Regions from separate parts of the Mus musculus genome. Here region 1 is reported to be linked to region 2. The links are microRNA targets in miRTarBase. Many come from high-throughput screens and were not tested one by one. Region 2 holds a microRNA gene; the other region holds the end of a gene's coding sequence.
The links. Region 2 holds the annotated microRNA mmu-miR-3965 (UGCUUAUCAGCCUGAUGUU, at 5,269-5,287, opposite strand). A microRNA usually pairs through its seed, bases 2 to 8, with sites in the 3' UTR of a target mRNA and lowers its output. Matches are read on the target gene's strand: a 7mer-m8 pairs with bases 2 to 8, a 7mer-A1 pairs with bases 2 to 7 and ends in A, and an 8mer does both.

Region 1: the mRNA of Vps26a is a reported target of mmu-miR-3965. Seed matches in the 3' UTR shown: 8mer at 1,482-1,489.

Annotation. Positions count from the first base shown.
Region 1 is chr10:62,450,987-62,457,986 of GRCm38, reverse strand. Vps26a (VPS26 retromer complex component A) reads left to right here. Exons shown (of 9, transcript NM_133672.3): 9 at 1,129-3,144. The coding sequence ends at 1,242. It overlaps 4930507D05Rik (RIKEN cDNA 4930507D05 gene), which reads right to left. Exons shown (of 1, transcript NR_027926.1): 1 at 6,634-7,000. It also overlaps a transcript of Supv3l1 not described here. Among named protein-coding and RNA genes, the nearest start is that of Supv3l1, 4.7 kb to the right of the region's middle.
Region 2 is chr5:134,324,516-134,331,780 of GRCm38, reverse strand. Mir3965 (microRNA 3965) reads right to left here and starts at 5,327; the gene lies at 5,259-5,327.

The sequences.
Region 1 (7,000 bases), not on the chromosome of region 2:
CCAAGTAAGTGTTCCAGAGCCAAGTTAGAAATTACTTTGTGCTAGCTAGGCATGAGCCACCATGAGGCATGAGGATCACAGAGTTTGAGACTAGTCTGGGCTACATAGCAAGACCTGGTCTCATAAGGACTAATAAGGGCCTGGAGAAGTGGTTCATCAGTTAAGAGCACTTGGGCTTGCAGAGAACCCAGGTTTGGCTCCTAGTACCCAGGCTGTGCTCACATGTCTACTGTAGGAGCCAGATACACACACAACACACATACATGCATTCATACACACACACACACACACACACACACACAAATAAATTTAAACAAACAAGAATCCGTGTCAGTTATGACTTGAAGCAGGAATTTAGAAGAGGAGAAAGGTGGGATTCAGCTATCATGGGTAGACAGCTCCATAGTGACTGGGAAGTGGTGTAGGGAAAGAGGTAGGCAGTTCATTTGGCATGCATCAGAGCAGAGAATAACTCAGTTTGGGAGAGGCATTTAGGGAGGGAAGGGAAATGGTATATGTAAATTAGTGTAAGGAATGGTGAGCAATGTATGGCAGGCCTCATATATTTGGAAATTCATCCTGGAGCTAATGGGAACTATCAAAGCTCAATATAAGCAGCGTTTATAAAACAAGCAGTGTGGGGTCCAATGAGATGGCCCACTGGGCAGAGGTGCTTGCTGCCCACGCTGAAGCCCTGAGCTCATCCCCCAGAGCCTGCCAGGTGAGGGGAGAACCAGCTCCAGAAGTTGTCCTGTAGCCACACACACACACACACACATACACAATGTACAAATTAATACAAGGAACGTGGCAGTGAAGTGAAGGGTGAATTAGAAATGGTTTTACAACAAAAGCTGTGTCCCAGGAAGCAGACTCAGGGCTTGACCTTGGATGAAAGCAGTGGGGCCACAGCAGATTGGGGGATTTTCTAAAGCAATACAGCTAGGATTTGTGGTGGTTGACTGTGAGTACGGAGAGAGGGGAAGGGTCACCCAGGAAAGTTGGGGGCTTTCGTACAGAGCATTTGGGATTGTTTTACAGCTTAAAATTGAAGTTGCAGCCAGTATTTCCATGGTGACCATCTAAGACATAGCAGAGAACTCCATTTCGGTTTTGCATTTCCTCTAGGAGATCATCCTGTGGAGAAAAGCACCCGAGAAACTGAGAAAACAGAGGACGAACTTTCACCAGCGGTTTGAATCTCCAGACTCGCAGGCCTCTGCGGAGCAGCCTGAGATGTAAGCAGGTGGGCAGAGCAGCAAGTGCAAGAACCGGGCCAAGAGAGCAGCTCAGCTGGCTGACGACAGTCGCAGCGTGCGGACATCCCAACTCCACGTCTGCTAGTCTTCCTTATCCTAGAGTGCTGCGTTTATTTTACAGTATGATTAAAGGTTTTGTGTATATACATTTTAAAAAGTGCTTCTTGGAAACACTGGAGAATTCCTAAGCTGCCTTTTTTGTTTTCTTTTTTACTGCACACTGATAAGCACTCAGAAGCATAAACATTAAGGATTTTCATGTGAGTAGACTGGTATTTGTAATTTTGCTTTCTTTATGCATAATGTTGAAAATCCTTTTCTCTGTTTTCATGCTAATGATTACCTCTTATTCTCTATGTGCAAAAAATTAAATATTTTTGTTCAAGTAAAATGAGAAAAACCTGAGCAGCCCTTATGTCCTACAAAGTTTTAAGGCATGGCTCCTCAGTATTTTTGAGAATTGTGTTTATTTTTACATGTGGATCAGAAACCAACCTGGTGTTACATGGTAGGCACTTCTGGGTCTACCATTCACAGCCTCCTGAATTTTAATCTTTGGGATCTCTGAGGTATATGAAAGATTGTCACCCCAGGGATGACATGGTTTGTCATCGTGGCCCTCTTGCCCCTTATTGACCACGTTTGCTATGACTTTCTGTATCATCATGTAGGTTCTGCAGTGTGGAGTTGACACATTGGCATTTTAGAACTTGTTAAACCTGTATCATTTTTTTTCCATAAAGACTTTGAAACATGTATATATTTTTTAATTTAAGGACTACTTTCCATGTGTATGCAAATCGTCACCTAGGAATGAGAGAGCTTGGGAGAACCAGCCGAAGTGTCCATAGCCGGACAATTTCTTGTTAACTGGAATATTGGCTAGTTCAAACTTGACTTCACGTAGTCTATTTAAAAAAACCCGAACCAAACAGAACAAAAAACACTAAATTCATACCATTCTCTGAAAAGAAGGCTGCAGTCAGCTGAGCACAGACACACAACTGAGGCGTATGGGGCAGGAGGAAGCCTGTGTGGGGGCCACTCTCACTCAGGGCTTGTTGGTTTCTGTACCAGTGTTCCTTGATACACCTCAGTACAGGTTTGTCAGTTAACTTTACTTTCTAGGAAGCTCAACAGCCCAACTTATGTTTCCTTAAACCTATTTTTTACTATGATGGCACTTTGATAAAATGGCCAGCAACCAGCCCTGGCCAAAGGTTCACATACCACGTCCTGGAGCAGCTATTGTCAATGTGGGTTTCTAAGGACGGCCATGTTCTCCTTCATGTAAGTGCCTGTTCAGAGTCTCAAAGTTTCAAAATGCCAAATATTTTCATGGTCACTTGCATGTATAATCTAGGAAATATTCAAGGAGATTTTGAAAAACAATTGTATTTAACCAGCCTCAAGTTGTGCAACCATGATATATAAAATAAATAATTTGAAACAGAAACTTAAGTTTGTAGTTTAAATAAAATGACTTTATTCTCAAATCTTGTCATTACAGCATTGCCCAGTGGTTAGGAAGACAGTCACAACAGTGAACTTTTATTAGTAGTACTAGCTTCAGGTTTGTTAAGGTTTTGTTTTGCTTTGTTTTTTTAGGTTTTATTTATTTTATATGTATTGCTGTTTTGGCTGCAAGTATGTCTGTGCAGGCATGTGGGCAGTGCCCAAGGAGGGCAGAAGAGAGCATTAGATCTCTTGGAGCTGAAATTACAGGTGTTTGTGAGCGGCCATGGGGGTGCTGGGAACAGAACCAAGGTAGCCAGTGCTGTTGACCACTGAACCATCTCTGGGTTCTCCAGCTTCAGTTTTAAGTAGTTATATAATGCTTTTAATTAATTTGCTTAAAACTCATATAAAATGCTTATTCATTCCATTTGATTCTTTTCTGATGCATAACCAACTTAAAATTTGGGGATTTCAGTCAAAACTTGATAAATAAAAAAGTTAACTATAGGCTAAATCTGTTTGCCCCCTGCAGAATATAGTGTCATAGATAATCTCAATCTTAGTCACATGCCAGGATCACTTCAGGAGCTTTAGAAAAACGGTCACACCTAGATCTCACCTAGACGGTAAAATCAGACTCTAATGGGAGTTGTGCTGCATACGTATAGTCCCAGCATGTGTGTTACAGAGGTAGGAGGACTACCTCAGGGTCAGCCTGGTCTACATAGTGAGTTCCAGCTTAGCTAGAGCTGTGTAACGAGACCCCCATCTAAAAAAAGATTGTTTTTCATATATTGGGGCATTAACATAAAAACAAGATTATCCAGGATTGAAGAGACAGTAATCACATTTCTTGTTTTGTTTAGGTTGGTCTCTACAGCCAGGACTGATCTCAAATTCACTATATAGCTGAGGATGACCTTAAAATACATTTAAGAAAACAATAATAAAATAGGGTTTTGTAGTCCAGGCTAGCTTTGAACTTACACACCAAGATGATCTGTAACTTGTGGTCCTCTGTCTCTGCCGCCCTGTGTTGGTATTATAGGCTTGCACCACCATGCCTGGTTTACATGGTGCTTAGACTTCATGACCCAAGGCTTTGAGCATCTTAAGCAGCATGCTGAGCAAGCACTCTGTCAACAGAGGCTAACTCTAATCCGCCCCTCTACCTCCTGGTTTGTTTATGTCGGGTTAACTGCTGATCATTTATGAAAGCATCCTCCAGTGGCATATACCTCTGCAGAGACTTTACAGATTTAAAGTTTTTCACCCTTATGCATAGTGAGGAAAACAGGTACCTTTCTATTTTTAAATACTTGGATGTTCTGAAAATCTTAGTACTTGGCTTCTTACATCATGGCCAGATTCTACATTGCAGAATACATCTTCACCCTAGTTATGTCCAATTCCATACACCTTGCTCCACTCAAATTCTAGTAAGGTTGTCCTGGGAACCTCAGTTTTTTGTTTGTTTTCTTGGTTGGAGTTTTTGTTTTGTTTTATTTTGTTTGAGACATGGTCTCAGCATTTAGACTCGGGTTGTCTAGAACTCTTTGTAGACCAGGTTGGCCTGAAACTTGAGACATACTCTTGAGTCAAAGGTATATACTACCATCACTTGGCTTCTTCTTCTTCTTTTTTTTTTTTTTTTTTTGATCTCATTTTTTTTAAGTTCAACATTGGGGAAGGTGGACAAAGAGAAAGAAAAGAGGAAGAGGAGGGATGTAGAGTTAATTGGGGAGGGGTGGGGGAGCCTGGAGTAGGGTGAGAATTGTAAGGCAGAGGGAGAGTCTTGTTTCCAAGGGGGGTGAACTAACAAAGGGTTCCAAAGGGGGGGGGGGGGTGTACACTCCAGACTAGGAGAGTGGGAGAGTGTTGGAGGGCACAGATTCTGAGCCAGGCATGGGGATTTTGTACAATGGTTAGCCAATGGTCAATATAAAGAAACAGATTGAGGTGTTCTGGGGTCCCTCTGACCTTTAGCCAGATGGCTTGGGCAGTGGTGGGGTCCAGGGAGCCTGCTGCTGGCCAGCTTACTTTACATGAAGGCCAACTGACCTCACAAAAACAGTTTTTCCTTAATGAGGGTAACACTGTAATTTTCTCTAAAACTGTGGGGAGATTTAATACTGCATCATAGGGGAGACTTGGTTGGAATAGTTGGTCCCCATTATGGAGAAAAGTTTACCTAACTCTGGGAATCAAAGGGTCAAAGGGACCAGACTGGAGAAGGCAATACTGAAAACGAGCCTCTTTGAGTTGAGCACAGGGAGGAGGAGATAGGCCCAGGAATGTACGTGCTTATATGGCTGGAGAACTCTTGTTCTAGGAAGAAAGGAGGGAGAGTAGGCTTATAGACAAAAGACAGAGGATAAAACTTACTGGAACTGTCAGTATTATCCCAGGGAAGGGATTAATACTGCTCATGTAACAGGTGAGGAGGGTAATGGGTTGCTCCCTGAAAAGCAATGTGATATACCCCAGGTTGCCTTCTGGTTGTCACTAAGTCAAAGACCAGCTCTCCTATCCTTGAGACAGACAACAAGAGAACTCTGTATACTTCTCCTCCCCTTCACCCACTCTCTGAAAGCCCTTTCTCTATCCACCCCTCAATGGTGACTCCCTGGCCTTAGTCCCTGTGGACAGTGAAATCGCCAAAGAACAGCTTTCCAATAAACCTGCCTTTACTATAATCTGGATTGATTTGGCTCATTTCACCGGCAGAGAAATAACCTATCAGAACTAAGGTGATTTATCAGATCCTGAGAGTCTTCAGAAAACGAGTTCACCAAGATGTGGTGATGCATGCCTTTAATCCTAGCACTTGGGAGGCAGAGGCAGATGGGATCTTTGTGAGTTTGAAGCCAGCCTGATCTACAAAGTGAGTTCCAGGACAGCCAGGGCTACAAAAGTGAAACCCTGTCTCAAAAAACAAAACAAAACAACAGAAAACCTAAACAAAAAGAAGAGAAAGTAAGAAAAGAAAGGTGTAGTCTCCCCTCCCCCAGCCTGAAACCTGCTTGCTCAGGGGTGGAGCTTCCCGCTCAATCGTTCTGCCACGCTCACTGCTGGAACGTGCGGCTTTGCTGTTTGGAGCCACACACGTGATCACCCTGCTACTGGACCCCGAGATTATTTGGCGGGAATTGGGCCCCCTTCCCCTGCTTTATAACTGAGTGCCGAAATAGTAAAAATTGAATCTTGAGCAGAGAGCTTTGTCTTGGTTCCTTCCTTATCTCGCGCAGCCCAGCCCCTCTTCTCTTCCAGGTTTCCAAAATGCCTTTCCAGGCTAGAACCCAGTTTGTGATCTACTGGCCAGACACAACAGAAAGGTTCTGAGGTTTTCATTTGTAAAGGTTGATGGTTGAGCATTAACAAAGATCATCGCTGTTCACCTTGGCCTCTGCTCCCCTCCCTTGCACATTCAACGCTTTATCTGCAAAGAAGGAACAACTTTGTGGAGGGACAGGCAAGAAAAGGTCTGGGGAGGGTTCTTCCCTGTAGTGAGTCTGGAAGCAGACTTGGGGTGGTCTAATGAGAAGCAGAGGGTTTAGGATGGATGCGCTGTCCTAGCTGGAGGCCTGGATGATGAACTTGAAGGTAGAATCTGAGTACTGGAATATGGGCGTGACTGCTTCATCAGGGTTCTAGTGGATGAGGTAAATGGAGCCTGGTTACAAAAACAGGTAGTGGAGTCTGAGGAGCTGAAGGCGGGTGGACTTTATCTCGGGACTAGGGGCTGACAATTTTTGTTTTTTATTTTTTACTTTTAGATTATTTTATGTGTATGAGTGTTTTGTCTTCATGTGTGCCTGCACTACAGGTGCGGGAACTTGAGGATGTGGTGAGCCTCCATGTGGGAATCAAACCTGCGTTCTTTCAACAAGTGCTCTTAACACACTGAGCCAACACTCCAGCTCAACATTTTTTTTAATTTAATTTTTAAATTTTATATACATTGGTGCTTTGACTGCATGTCTGTGTGAGGGGGTACAGAAGATACAGACAGTTGGGAGCCCAAGTCTCTACAAGAGCAGCTAGTGCTCTTAACCACGGAACCATCATCTCTCCAGCCCAAGGACAAAGTCTTAACCCAGGTGTTAGGCTCCAGCTCGCTACAGCCCCACCCCCACCGATGGTGCCGAAACCGAGTTCCAGGTAGCCACAGCCCTTCTCCTGAATGATCACCAGGCACTTGAGTCATGACCTTACATGGGGAAAAAAAAGCCAGCTCTTGTCTGACACACAACCTTTCCCCTTGCTCAGGACTCTTAAGAATC
Region 2 (7,265 bases):
AGAATGGGTCAGTAAGTTAAGATGCTTGCTGCCAACCCTGTAGGATCTGAGCTTAGTTCCCAGGAACCCTATGGTGGAAGAGGAGAACCATCTCTTTCAAGGTGTTCTCTGACCTCCACACAGACAAGCTGTGGCATGTGTTTGCCCACACAAACTAAATAAGTAACTGTAATAATAACAACAGTAGTCTTAGTAACAACAACAACAACAACAATAACAACAATAATAATAGCCACAGTGGGAATCTTACTCCTCTTCAAAACGAAAGTCACAGAGATGAGTGAGTGACTGAAGGATCTTACTGCCCGCTTTATTTTATTCTCTCTGAATCAGGGTGTTCATTTGTTTGTTTGTTTTTCAGGACAGGGTTTCTCTGTGTAGCCTTGGCTATCCTGGAACTCACTCTGTAGACCAGGCTGGCCTTGAGTTCACAGAGATCCACCTGCCTCTGTCTCTCAAGTGCTGGGATTAAAGTCTCTGCTACCATCACTGCCCGGTCCTCAAGGTTTTCCTATGTAGCTCAGGCTGGTCTCCAGTTTGCATCAATCCTTCCTGATGGTGGTGCCCCTCCATGCCTGACTACTCTCGACTCTTAGAGCATCTCTGTCCAGAACCTCAAAAGGCAACTGATGTTCCTATTACCCTGAACCCCCAGCTGTCTTTGGTCCAGGGAACAGCAAACCTCTCTGAGAGATCACTCCATGATGAGATCATACCCAAGGAGAAGTACTCACCTCATGGGAACAGACTTGACCCCTCAAGCAATAAAGACATCTTCAGAAGCCGCGCAGAACGACAGCTGATACAATAATAACTACTTAATTACATGTAGCTCTCACACCAGCTCAATTCTTTCTGTTTAATCTAAAGCTCATGTTGGTACCCCAAAAGTGGATTGGGGGGCACTGGTTCTTTTGTCTATACTTTCCAATACGGGATCTCTTTTCTCTGCTTTTCACAATCTTTCCATTTCTTCCTCCTCCTCTCTCCCTCTCGCTATTTTTTGTTTATTTATTTTGTGTATATGTATGTGCACGCACATACCATAGCGCTTCTGCAGGGCTGAGAGGGACAGCTGGAAGGGTGTGCGTCTCTCCTTCTATTTGTGGGTCCCAGGGATTGAACTTAAGCTGTCCGTCTTGGCTGCAAGCACCTTTACTCACTGACCCATCTCCATAGCTCTTATTTTTACTTCTCAGACACGATTTCCTGTAGCCCAGGCTAGCCTTGGACTTGTGGCTCAGGATGACTTTGAATGTTTAAATCATCCTGCACCGAGCTACCTCTATCACGGTGCTGAGAATGGAACCCAAGATATTGTGATATTGTGATATTATGAGCTAGGCTAGGCAATCCTCTATGACTTCAGTCATAAAGAGCCAGCTACACTCTTCTGCGCTGTGTACTTAGCTCCCAGGTAGAAACCATGGCTGGCTGCCCTGCTGGTGTGAGGCCAGCATGGGGAGTGTAAAGTCAGCAACCAGGGCTTCCTGGGTTGCTAAGTGACATATGCAAATGAAGCCTTATCTGAGACTTCTTTAGGGACTGTCCCTGATTTTTATAGCATTCTTTTTGTTTGTTTTTATTTTTCAAGACTGGGTTTCTCTGTGTAGCTGTGGCCATCCTGAAACTCACTCTGTAGGCCATGCTGACCTCGAATTCAGAGATCTGCCTGCCTCTGCCTCCTGAGTGATCAAAGGTGTGAGCCACCACCACCAGCCTTCTTGAGGTGGGAGAACAGGCTAGCTAATCTTCTCCACCTCTCCTTTCCTTCCTTGCTATGCAATTGATCTGGATATTTTGATCCGATAAGCCAGGGCTAGAGATGTGGCTCAGTCGGTGGAGTGCTTAGGCCTGGGTATGAGTACCAGCACTGGATAAACCTGGTGTGGCGGAGCAAGCCTAACACTAACCCTAACACTAGGAGGTACAGAGGCAAGAGGGTCAGAAATTCAAAGTCAGCCAGAGTTACATAGCAAGTTTGAGGATAGGCTGGGCTACATGAGACCCTGTCATGACTATTGCCAATAATCAACTAGAGTTACCTGGAAAATATTTAAAATCATCTGGCAGTCGAGTCTCTGGGCATGCCTGTAGGGGATTATCTTGGCTATATCAAAGGGTCTTAGGACTTTCACAATGGAACTCACAGAGATCCACCTTCCTGTGCCTCTGGCCTTGTGCGATTCATTCATACACCAGCCACCACAAAGGAGGAGCCACTTTTAACAGTGGGCAGGCCTGTTCCCTGGGGAGCAGACCCTGGGCTGTATAAATGGAGCAAGGCTGCTGAGCAGCAACTTCAATTCCTCTGCTATTATACTATTCTAGGCACAGGCAAAGAATAGGGTCAGTTCTAGGTCAAAGACAAAGGAGAAGGCAAGGCTACTCGGAGGAAGTAGGTCACTGAACCCGTTTGTCCTTAGGGACTGTTTATTTATTTATTTATTTTTGTAAGGTTTGTTTGTTTGTTTGTTTGGTTTGGTTTGGTTTGGTTTGGTTTGGTTTTTTGAGACAGGGTTTCTCTGTGTAGCCCTGGCTGTCCTGGAACTCACTCTGTAGACCAGGCTGGCCTCAAACTCAGAAATCCGCCTGCCTCTGCCTCCCGAGTGCTGGGATTAAAGGCATGGGCCACCACGCCCGGCTTGTAAGGTTTTTTTTAAGTTTAGTTTTATTTCATGTTCATTGTTTTTTCTCTTGGACTCATGGACATCTGTGTGAAGGTGTCAGACACCCTATAACTGGAGCCCCAGACAGTTGTGAGGTGCCATGGGCGTGTTTGGAATTGAACTCAGGTCCTCTGGAAGTGCTCTTAACCACTGGGGATTGTATTTCTCACAGGTCTCTTCCTGCCATTTATTTCTGCTTCCTGGTGGCCGTAAAGTGAGCCCCTCTGCCTCACCAGGGGCAGGAACCGTGGAGCTGGCTGACAACAGACTGAGCGTTCTGAGATGATAAGGCAGCATAAGTCTTCCTCCGATATTCCGTGATAATGATAGAACAGTCGGAATGCATAGACAACTGAAGCCAGGAGGCCCTCAGGTGCCTCCTCCCACCCTTAAAAATTGTGGTTGCTTCCTTGGGAGGGAAGATTAATAATAGTACATGTATCTGTACTGACCTGTCTGTCTGTATGTCTCTATCTCTGTCTTTCTCTCTCTCTATCACATACACACACACACACACACACACACACACACACACACACACACACCAGGCTGGGGAAAAACCCAGAGCCTTGCACATGTGGGGCAAATGCTCTGTTCTGTTTGTTTGTTTGTTTGTTTGTTTGTTTGTTTGTTTGAAACAGGGTTTCTCTGTGTAGCCCTGGCTGTCCTGGAACTCACTTTGTAGACCAGGCTGACCTCAAACTCAGAAATCCTCCTGCCTCTGCCTCCAAATGCTCTGTTCTTGAGTCACAGCACCAGCCCCTCCACAGGGGATTGTGGGGAGTGCGTTTCAAAACAGGGTTTCTCTGTGTAGCCCTGGCTGTCTTGGAACTCACTCTGTAGACCAGGCTGGCCTCAAACTCAGAGATCCACCTGCCTCTGCCTCCTGAGGGCTAGGATTAAAGGCATATGTGACCATTGCCCGGCAGATTTACTTATTTTTATTTTATGTGTATGCATGTTTTGTCTGCAGGTGTGCATGGGTGCTACCGCATCATGCATGTCTGGTGCCCACAGATCCAGAAGAGGATTCCAAACCCCTGGAGTGGGCAATACAGATGTTTATGGTCCTCCGTGCGAGGGCTGGAAACTAACTTGGTCCTCAGCAACAACCACAAGAGCTGGTAACCTGCCTCAAGTTTGCCAGTTTTTTTTTTATTTTTATTTTATTTTTTTTATAAAGTAAATAAGTAAATCTTTTTTTTTTTTTTAAGATTTATTTATTTATTATATGTAAGTACACTGTAGCTGTCTTCAGACACTCCAGAAGAGGGAATCAGATCTTGTTACGGATGGTTGTGAGCCACCATGTGGTTGCTGGGATTTGAACTCTGGACCATCGGAAGAGCAGTCGGGTGCTCTAACCCACTGAGCCATCTCACCAGCCCAAGTTTGCCAGTTTTAAAGGTCAAACCCAGATAAGTGTGTGTGTAGTGAGACATACTTTTTTAAAAAAAATAGGGCTGGTGACAAGATCTGACTCCCTCTTCTGGTGTGTCTGAAGACAGCTACAGTGTACTTACATATAATAACTTACATAAAATATTTATTTATTATATGTAAGTACACTGTAGCTATTCTTCAGACACTCCAGAAGAGGGCGTCAGATCTCGTTACAGATGGTTGTGAGCCACCATGTGGTTTCTGGGATTTGAACTCAGGACCTTTGAAAGAGCAGTCGGGTGCTCTTACCCACTGAGCCATCTCACCAGCCTGAGACATACTTTTAATACTCGTACTTGGGTGACAGATACAGGGAGATCTCTGGATTTGAGATCAATCTGGTCTACAGAGTGAGTTCCAGGACATCCAGGGCTACACAGAGAAACCCTGTCTCAAAAAACCAAAACCAAAAACAGCACTAGAGACAGGAAGGTAGAGACAGGCAGATCTCTACGAGTTTGAGGTTATCCTGGTCTACATAGCAAGTTCCAGACCAGCCAGGGCTACACAGCTGAATCTCGCTAATCAGTTTTTTGCCAACTTGACACAAACATAAGACATCTGAAAAGAAGGAATCCAAGTTTTGGAATCTGGATTTGCCTTTACTGGATTGACCTGTATGCAGGGCATTTTCTTAATTACAAATGATGGATGTGGGAGTGCCCAGCTCCTGTGGGCAGTGCCACCTCTAATCAGATGGTCTTGGGTGGTATAAGAAAGTAGGTTGGGGCTGGAGAGATGGCACAGCAGTTGAAAGCTCTGACTGATCTTTTAGAGGTCCTGAGTTCAATTCCCAGCAACCACATGGTGGCTCACAGCAATCTGTAATGAGATCTGGTAACTTCTGAAGACAGTGACAGTGTACTCATATACACAAAATAAATAATTCTTTAGAAAAAAGGAAGAAAGGAAGAAAGAAAGGAAGAAAGCAAGAAAGAAAGCAGGTTGAAGACAGGTATAGTGGTGCACACCTTTAATCCCAGCACTCAGGAGACAGAAGCAGGAAGATCTCTAAGTTTGAGGCCAGCCTATTCTACAAAGTGAGTTCCAGAACAGCCAGAGCTACACAGAGAAACCCTGTCTCAGCAACAAGAAGAGAAAGAGAAAGGAAAGGAAAGGAAAAGATCAGAAACCAAAGCCGCCTGAGCAAGCCTTGAACATCAGGCTGATAAGCAGCAGCCTTCTGTGCACTCAGCTGCAGCTCTCTGACTTCCCTCCACGATGAACTGTGGCCAGAATGTGCAAGCCAAACAAAACCCCTCCTCCCTGGTAGCTTTTGGTCATGATCTTTATCACAGCAATAGAAAACACACTAAGACAGAAACCTTATCTAGGGAAAAAAAAAAAAAAAAAAAGGCAGCTTGGTTGGGCCTCTCTGAGTGGGTGATGTAATCCTGTTTGGAAGTAGAGGCTGGAACGGCAGGCATCCCGACCAGCGACCAGCGTGTCTGCCCCAAACTTCTTAGCTGGCACTGAAGGACCATTGTGATCCAGGCCAGGCTCCTTCTCTAGACTGACCCGCACCTGCTCCTAGATCTGGGAGAATTCATGGTGACTATGAATAATAGCTATATCTAGCACGTGGGGTTTCTTTCCTCTGTTTCCTGTGCGCTGTGGCACTTCCCCGACCGTATAGGCTCTTCTATGTGTGTACATGCATGCGTGTGGCATATGCATGTGGACACATGTACACTCTTCCACTTTGTGTGGAAGCCAAAGGCTGGTGACAGGTATGTTCCTTAATTGCATCTTCACAATTTTTGTTTTGTTTTGTTTTTGAGACGGGGTCTTACTAGGTAACCCTGGACTGCCTGGAACTAGCTGTGTAGATCAGGCTGGTCTCAAACTCACAGAAACTGGCTTGGTTCTGCCTCCTGAGTGCTGGGATTAAAGGTGTGCACCACCATACTCAGCTTCACCTTAAAATTTATTTGTCGCCGGGCATGGTGACACACGCCTTTAATCCCAGCACTGGGGAGGCAGAGGCAGGCAGATTTCTGAGTTCAAGGCCAGCCTGGTCTACAGAGTGATTTCCAGGACAGCCAGGGTGATACAGAGAAACCCTGTCTCGAAAAAACAATATATATATATTTGTTGCCTGGTGGTGGTGGGATGTACCTCTAGTACTAGTACAAGCACAGGAGGCAGAGACAGGCAGATCTCTGAGTTCAAAGCCAATTGATCTATAGAGTGAGAGTTCCAGGACAGCCAGAGCTACACAGAGAAACCCTGTCTCACTGTCTCAAAACAAAACAAAACAAAAAAATTGTTTAATTTTTGGTGTGTGTGTGTGTGTGTGTGTACATGATATGGGCATGCTTGTGGAGGTCAAAGACAACTTCATGGAATTAATTCTCTCTTTCCACCTTTATGTAGGTCCTGGGAATCGCCCTCTGCTTGCCAGGGCTTTTGTAGCAGGAGGCTTTACCTGCTGAGCCAGCCTGCCAGTCCACCACATTATTATTACTGCTGTTGTTGTTTTTGTTTTGAAACAGGGTTTCTCTGTGTAGCCATGGTTGTTCTGGGCTCACTCTGTAGACCCGGTTGGCCTTGAATTCAGTGAGATCCACCTGCCTCTGCCTCCAGAGTGCTGGGATTAAAGTTGTTCACTTTTTTTTTTTTTTTTTTTGAATGGAGTCCCTAAACCTGTAGATTGCCAGGGAACCCCAGAAACACACACACACAGGTTATTCTTGCATAAAATCATTGCCTTCCAGACTCCCCTTTTTCTTTATTTTATGTATATGAGTACACTGTAGCTGTCTTTAGACACACCAGAAGAGGGCATGAGATCCCATTACAGATGGTTGTGAGCCACTATGTGGTTGCTGGGAATTGAACTCAGGACTCTTGGAAGAGCAGTCAGTGTTCTTACCCGCTGAGCCATCTCTCCAGCCCCTCTCCCCTTCTTCTTTAATGGCTAGTTGCAAGGTTTCCATCAAGGCTCGGCTCACACCAGGCGTGATGCTGTGTGTCTGTAATCCAGCATTTGAGATGCAGATGCTGATGATGCTGAGTTCCCAGCCAGCAGTGTACACTGTTTGGTTCTCTCTGTCCACCATGTGGGTCCTGGCACCGAACGCAAGTCACCAGACTCCATGGCAGGTGCCGTTACTCACTGAGTTAACTTACTGGCTCAGCCTGGACAACTTA